2 linked regions of the Alligator mississippiensis genome follow. The protein of the gene in region 2 interacts with the protein of the main gene of each other region in a biochemical or structural test. Links are inferred from orthologs where the notes say so. Each region holds a gene or a part of one and is shown on either strand. Other genes may lie near its edges.

The links.
Region 1: the proteins of LZTR1 (region 2) and KRAS form a complex in vitro, tested with the Homo sapiens proteins (2 studies listed by BioGRID, with this or other methods). The link is inferred for Alligator mississippiensis from reciprocal best matches to the Homo sapiens genes LZTR1 and KRAS.

What each region holds. Positions count from the first base shown.
Region 1 is NC_081827.1:127,854,423-127,858,333, forward strand, and holds the start of KRAS (GTPase KRas), read right to left. Parts: upstream 2,407-3,911; coding exon 2,296-2,406; intron 1-2,295. UniProt on the Homo sapiens protein: Ras proteins bind GDP/GTP and possess intrinsic GTPase activity. Plays an important role in the regulation of cell proliferation.
Region 2 is NC_081837.1:32,892,644-32,896,554, forward strand, and holds the start of LZTR1 (leucine-zipper-like transcriptional regulator 1), read right to left. Parts: upstream 2,932-3,911; 5' UTR 2,917-2,931; coding exon 2,729-2,916; intron 2,640-2,728; coding exon 2,577-2,639; intron 736-2,576; coding exon 679-735; intron 1-678. UniProt on the Homo sapiens protein: Substrate-specific adapter of a BCR (BTB-CUL3-RBX1) E3 ubiquitin-protein ligase complex that mediates ubiquitination of Ras (K-Ras/KRAS, N-Ras/NRAS and H-Ras/HRAS).

The sequences.
Region 1 (3,911 bases), on a different chromosome or scaffold from region 2:
TAAAACTGATCACTTCTCCTTGAATGACAAGGGAATTTTCTAATTAAATGATGCCTTGCCTACAAGCTTGGATATGCTTTTAGTGTTGTAAGCATGCATGGTGCTTTGGTACACATATAAAAGGTACAGTCGCTGTTCTGAAGGTCCTACAATCTAACATGTTATTTTATAGATATTAGATATAATTTTTTCCACCTGTTCAGACAGTATCCACTAAAGTAACATTTGGAAGACTACTACTAGATCAAATAGTATATGAAGGTAAAACACTGAAGCGGGGGTGGTCTTTAGTACAGCAATGCACAAACATTTTCCCAATTACTGGATCACAAAATAATGTTCAGGTCATCCTGTGCAGTTAGTCTGAAAGCTTTCAAGAATAAAAGCAACATTTTCTAGGAAGATTACTTCCCCTCCACCACCTGGAAAGTAGTTTCATTTTAACATTCTGAACAAATACAGTGTCCTGAGCTGGATACTACCAGTGATAGGGACCAAACAACAGCCACTGGGCTTCTCTCAGTTCTAGTAACGTCTCAATTCTGATATGAAATATCCATGTCATACAAGTCCTGGGTATCTAAGCAAAACTCTGATTTTGCACAATCATGGTAGTTAAGTCGTAAGTTTCTATTATGGAGACTTCTTACTTCAGAGACAAGGTCCTTTGGCAAGAATAAGCAGTCACAAATGCCATGCTACTTCTATCCATTTCCTTTATTCTTAGCTTCACACACTACATTTTTAAAGATGACACAAGAAGGGCCGCCCCTGTGTTACCAACCAGATGCTCTTCATCTATGCCCACCAAGTCTCTATCTTTTTTTTTTTTAATTTACAACCCTATTACCAAGTCCTACCCTTGCACTTACGTCTACTGCATTTTATCATGTCAAATTAGATTGGGATCTCTTTGGGGCACAGATTTTATGCAGTTTTGCATAGAGGTATACCAATATATTGGTCCATATCGGATCGGCACTGATAAAAGGAAAATTGACATTATCAACTATTGGCTTTTTTGGCTGATGTAGCTGACAACGTCACCGATAAATGCCGTGCACACTCACACAGCCACAGCGTGCAATTGGCAGGGAATGCAGCCCAGGAGCTTAGAAAGCACAGTCCAGCTGGTAAGTCTGTGGGGGAAGGGACATGGAGGGTTGCAGATCAAGGCCCCCAAAGTGAGAGACAACTGGGATGGAGCAGGCACTGCCCAGCTGGGGCAGAGCACAGGAGAGGCCTGGGCATGGGGAGGCAGAGAGGAGGACAGCTCCTCACAGCTGTGCACACCTCAGGGGAGGCATGGGGGGCAAGTGCCCCTAGATTTGTGTGTGGGACAAGGGCAAGCTGCCCGCAGTGGGCTCAGGGCTAGGGGCTGAGCTGGCTTCTTCCCTGCGAGAGGCCTGGGCTGGGGCTGTGCTTGGGGCAGAGTAGGACAGGCAGCAGTGATGCTGGGAAGAGGGACATGGTGTGGGCTACAGCCACCCCAAATTCACTGTAGCCCACCCTGTAGCCTCCCCCTTCCCCCTCTAGTGCTGCTGCTGGTCTGCCCTGCCCACCCTGAGCACAGCCCAGGCCCCCCACTGAGAAGAGGCCAACACAGCCCTTGGCTCCAAGCCTGCAGTGGGCAGCCCACCGTTACCCTGCACACAAATGCAGGGGGGCACATGCCCCCCATGCCTCTCAGCTCTGCCCCTGCCCTGCCCAGGCAGCCCCATCCTGCCCTCTCCCCCCACAACAACAGACTCACTGGCTGGGCACTGCTCTCCATGCTGCTAGGCTGCATATCAGCTATTGGATTGGTATCGGTTGATATGGCTGGTTAATAATTGGCCATTGGTATTGGCCAAAAAAATCTTTATCCGTGCATTCCCAGTTTTGCAAAACACAATGCACATAATTTGACTCCAGGGAAGAAAACACAGCATTCCAACTATAGTGTTGTTTCTGATCCTGTGCAGGGAATTGTGTTTATCAAGTACTCTGATCCACTTGAGATTTCTGCCATCATCAGTATTTTCCCTTACAATTAAAAAGGCAGTACTGTTTTACAGAATTATTAAAAAAAAAACCAACCTAAAACAAAACAACTCTCAAATAAATATTTAATAGACTAAAATCTAGGGCCTCAAATCTAGTTTCAAGTGTATCCCACAATGTACTTGAGAGAAGAGAAGAATACTACACTGCCTATTCACAAATATCACAAAAACAGTACCAACAGGAGAGAAAAATCAATCTGCCTCTTGTATTATAAAAACATGTACATGCTGTTACAATGAAACTGTCTACCTCTATTGTAGGATCATATTCATCCACAAAATGATTCTGAATTAGCTGAATTGTCAAGGCGCTCTTGCCTACGCCACCAGCTCCAACAACGACAAGCTTATATTCTGTCATTTTTAGCAGCCCTGGTAAGGAGAAAAAAAGAAATCAAGTGTAAGTAAAACAAAACTTTGTTTCAATTCATTGAGAATAATGCTAGTTTAATAGCCATCCCTCAATTCACTTTACACTAGGTATAAAGGAAAAGAAGTTTCCCATCTCTCTTGTCCTCTCTTTCAGATGCACATCCAGAAGGGGATGTTATTTCTATTTCTCAATCAATACACATAAAGATTTAGATCAACAATACTTGCACCTATTGGTTACTGCTGAACTTAAAAACTAGTTATTAATATCATGCATTACATTCTGGTAACAGCTGGACATTTGTTCTTGCAGAGTGAAACATACAAAGTTCCGGCTCATGTTGTGATCAGCTGTTTTTAAAAAAAAGAAATGTTAAGGAATTGGGGGAGATGTTTCCCTGGATTTGAAAAAATATTTATGAATTGGATTAAGTGAGGCTGTTACTTTAAGATTTTCAGCGAGTTCACCAAAGTGAAGTGCTATAAAGAACTCCCTCCACATTTTTTTTTTTTGGAGTTAAGCACAGGAGCTCACCTTGACACCGTTCTCTGGGCAAGCAGCAACATATCACTGCTGATTTGGGGGCTCCTATTCAGTGCAGAGGATTACAAGGCTGCTGGAACAACATCCAGGGTCTTACCTGGACTCTCAGGAAAACCCTAAGAGGCCACTAAGAGCCAAGGAGCTGACAGGAGCCAGGGAGGGGCAGCGTCTTTGTTCGTCAGGTGCTTACAGGTTCATCCCTGGGGGGCCAGGGAGATGGCTTGGGGGAGGAGGGGCGGGCACGTACACGCATACATGCACACGTGTTAAAGAGACAGCTGGGCTAGGGGGAAGAGGGGTGTGTGAGCAAGCTGGACTGGGGGAAAGACTGGGGTGTATGGAGCTGGCTTAGGTGGGGGTGAGCTGGGGAATGTGTAAGAGCTGCTGAGAGAGAGAGCGAGCTGGGGGAGAAGAGGTGGGGTGTGGACTGCCCGGCGCAGCGCCGGGGGGTGGGAGGTGCCTGCACAAGGCGCTGCCCGCCGGTCCATGCAGGAGCAGTACCGGGCCGGGAGGTGCCGGGCGGTGCCACCTGTCCGGCCTTGGCCCCCCGGGGGCCTGTTAGCGCCGCCCGCGGTCCCGCTCCCAGGCAGCCGCCCCCTAGGCCCCGAGCCCCGCGCCCCGCTTGGCCGCGCTACATGCCTGCCTGCGGCTCTGCCCTGGCCGCGGCCGGCTCTGCTGTGGCCCCCGGCGTGGGGCGGGGCGGGACACTGCGCGTCCCTCGGCGGCCCGGTCTGAAATGGCGGGGCCGGGGCGGGCCGGGCGAGCGCTGCCCGGGGAGGCGGAGCGCCGAGCGCACGGATTGGCTCATCCATGCGCTCGGCGCTCCCCGCCTTGCCGGGGGGGGGGGGCCGCCCCACTGCTTTCTCCGCCGGACACGTGCGGGCGCCGCGCGGGGCCTCTCCTAACTCGCGGTTTCTTGATCCATGCCTTGCCAGGACGACGAAAAGATT
Region 2 (3,911 bases):
TGACAAAATGATGGCACATGCTGGCCACAGACACTTTGAGTGACAGGGACTGTATGAAGTCATGCAAAGTTTAAAGGTTAATGCTGAAATAAATTCTACAAGGTTCTGTATGGATACCAGGGGACAGGACAGAAACCACGACTCAGCAGGAAGAATGAGGCTAAGGTGCCTTTAAAAGACATCTTTGCATTCTTCCAATCCTGGGCAGTTCTGGGGCTGAAGGAAAGGAGAAGCAATCCTTCCCCTACATGTCAGATAGACACTTCTGAAGAAGCAGCCTTCTGGTACTGTTCTATGAACTAATGTCACAGAATTTCTGCAGCACTGCAAATTGCAGCATCACTCCAACATGAAATCTTGCCTTCAGCCCTGCACCTGACACGCCACAAACTCTACTGCTGGTGAGGATCATACAGGAACAAGCATTATGACTGACCATGCACAAGGAAAATCCTCTCTCTGCTGGATGCAAAACTCTAAGAGACTCTTTTACACAGATCTCCCCTATTTATCTAATGTAAAAGGACTGGAACAGAGATAAGCATCAAAAACACAGGGAAAATAAAACAACTACAGCCCAAAGCAAAAATGTACTTTGGTTAACTCATTTTGAACAGCTGTTAAGGAATGCAAGGTTCAGAAACTCGGTCAATAACAAACAAAAAAACATTTTCATACCTGCACCAAGAGCAATCTTTCACATCAAATCTTAACAGGTCATTCAACATTGTTTTTCTGAAATGAAATACAGTAGGAAAATGTAATCAGCACTTAGCTATGTATGTGGGACAAACACAAAGTAGAGCTGTGTAGAAAACTCTGACTGCTCAGTCCTCTTGGAAATGTAGTACGTGATCACTACATAATCAAGAACTGAATTGTAAAGCATTTGTGCAAGGAGACATACTCAAGACTCTATGTTCCAGCTTGCCACCTGCATATTCTAGCTCCAAGGATTAGACGCATTATTTTTGTAGTGATTTACAAGTCCCATGTTAGGCCTCAGACACATTATTTTACAGTGCTTTGTGTGATATTATAGCACTACAAATAGTAAGTGTACAGAGATCCAGGCTGTTTATAGCGCTACAAAAATGGCAGATCCTCCACAACAAAGCTACTGTTTCAAACCAAAACTTCTTTGTGGTGCTCCATAAAGCACAGGCAGTCACATGTAGTACAACAGAAATGCTCCCAAGACTCCCAGCATCCCTGAAAGCTCTGCTCTCCCTCCCCGTTTCAGGGCAAGGGAGGAGAGTAACGGACTGCCTGACAGGGCATCACAAGCAGAGCTACATCTCTGTTCCCTTTGATGGCTATTACAGTCGCAGGTGTCCTGCTCTGTCAAACAGATGATTGGCAGCTCATCATGTCATCAGTAAGTTTGTCACAGCTGTCAGGAGCAGAGGTACAGCTCTGCTCACCATTGCAGCTGCCCCTGAACAATCCCTGACCAGCTGTTTGGCAGAGCAGGGCAGTCACAGCTGTCAAGCACAGCCCCCTACCATGGGCAGGCAGAGGCATAGCAAATAGAGTACAAGCATCAACAGCAGGAGGTCTCTGGAAACTTCAAGGCCTGTGAGGACATATGCTCTGTTCAAGAGGATCTTGAAGCTTACAGTGAAGAACAATACATCTTGAAAACACAAATCAATGCATTTCTTACAAAGGACCAAATATCTTAAGCCTCTGCAGTTTAAAATCTGAAAATAATTACTCTAATGAGCCCTACAGAAGAACAGCAGCAGGGAATCTTGTTCCACATCTTCCATAAACAGCTTGAGCTGTTAGATACTTGAAATTGCTACCGTTTGGCGTGACGGTATGTACGAAGGGGAGGGAATGAAGCTACAGCTTGCCTTGCTTCTTCAGAGGAAGCAACAGCTTGCAAGATGTGGCCTTTCAAATCCTTTTAAGATGAGTCTGGGTGCATCCACATGTGCACTTAAATGCGCATTAACCTATTTTAATGTTCATTAAAGCATCACTAGAAAAACTATGCTATTTAGTTTCTGCTCATTAAGACTAGCTAACATGCATTTTCCTAGTACCTCACAGTGGAGGTCGCAGATTTAATGCGCAGTAACTAAAGCACGTTCATGCACATGTAGACCGGCCCACTGTGTATAAAGCTGGGCGGTGGCTCCGAGGGCGCGCTGCCATGCTGTGCATATAACTAAGCTGTAACAGATGCATTTCTTTTCAGCCTCAAGCAAGTGGGTGCAGACTCCATAACTGCCGTAGCAAAGGGCATCAACGACAACGCTATTCCTCTTCTCGGGGGGCAGGGACTGCTGGTTACAGCAGCGCTGGCGGCAACAACTGGGTCAGCTGCGACTAGGCGGTGGCTATGCTTGCACCCGCCCCCGCTGCCCACTCTCAGGGGTCCAGCAGCCTTGGCACTCCTGCCCTGACCCTGTCAAGCACGGCCAGCCGACCGACCGCTGGGGAGGGCGAGCAGAGTGTGCCCCATTCCTGCCCCGCGGGCAGCTGGGGGCTGTGGCTATCAGCTCCCTGCCCCGCGACATGAGGCCGCGGGCAGATGACGGTCGCCTGAGTTTAAACCCCGTGCTCACCCGTTGTCACCGCCGAAGACGTAGATGGCATCGCGGTAGGCCACCACCGTGTGCTTGCTGCGCCTGCGGGGAGACAGCGGCGGTCAGGGAGGGCCCTACCCGCGGGCCCCGGCCCCCCCTCCCTCCCCCGCCCGGCCCCCCCCGGCGCGCACCGGGCTCCCACGAATTCGTCGCAGGGCGGCAGGCGGCGCCAGCGATGCACCGTCTCGAAGGGCCCGAAGTTGAGGGTCAGGTACTCGACGCTGTCCGAGCAGCTGTGGTCGAAGTCCACGCTCGGCGCCACCTTGGAGCGCCCCGCCGCACCCCCCGACAGCGGCCCCGCGCCCCCCGCCGCTGCCATCGCCCCGGCACGGGCGCTCCCGGCATGCCCTGCGGCTCCCGGCGTGCCCCGCTCCGAGCCTGTGGGAGGGCTCTCGAACGCCAACTCCCAGCATGCCCAGGGCTCGGGAAAGAACTGTCGTTCCCGACATGCTCTGCGCTAGGAAAGATGGAGACTACCACTCCCGGCATGCCCCGCCCCGAGACTGCGGGAGGGCGGGGAGATGTCAACTCCCAACATGCCCAAGGCCGGGGAAGGAACTACCACTCCCGACATACTCTGCGCTCGGCAGGATGGTGAGAGAGGAAGACTATAACTCCCGGCATGCTCTGCATCGCAGCCCGGAGCGGGGACCTCAGCTCCCGACATGCCCTGCGAGGAAGACGCGGCCAAGACAATACTCGCAGGGCTCATGGAGCGGGGGCGAGACAGCAGCTCCTGCGCATGCGCAGTGCGAAACCCCAGCCTGCACCAAGTTGACCAGGAGAAGAAATTACTTTGATCGCAAAAATAGCAAACGGCCTGAGCCTCAGCCAAGACCCTCCAGCCAGAAACCTCTGGATAGGAGTCCCAGTAGGAGCCTGGGCACATACACAGCAATCTCCAGTACTGGGGGAAAAATTCTTGTTGGCCACCCTTGGAGCCAGCCCCAGCCCTCTCCCCTGGCTCCTTGACTAACACCAGTTCTCAAAGGGAGCATCCTTGTGCCCTGCACTTCCTTTTATGCCCAGTGCACATCTTGCCCCACACCCATTCTTCCTACCCCCAAACTCTTCCTTTGCAACCTAGACCAGACTACAAGCAAACCCCCTGCCTGCCTGTGCCAGTCTTTCAGAAGGTGCTAACCTGGGGTGGCAAAGCCCAGCCCATGGGCTGGATCGGGCCCTTGCCAGACTCCATTTCCTAGGAGTGGTGGGGCTAGGGGCCAGGGTTGCCATGGAGACCAGCCCCAGCCATGCTGGCAGGGCACTATGTGGGGCCGGGATCTTGCTGCAGTGACAGCGCAGTCTGGAGCT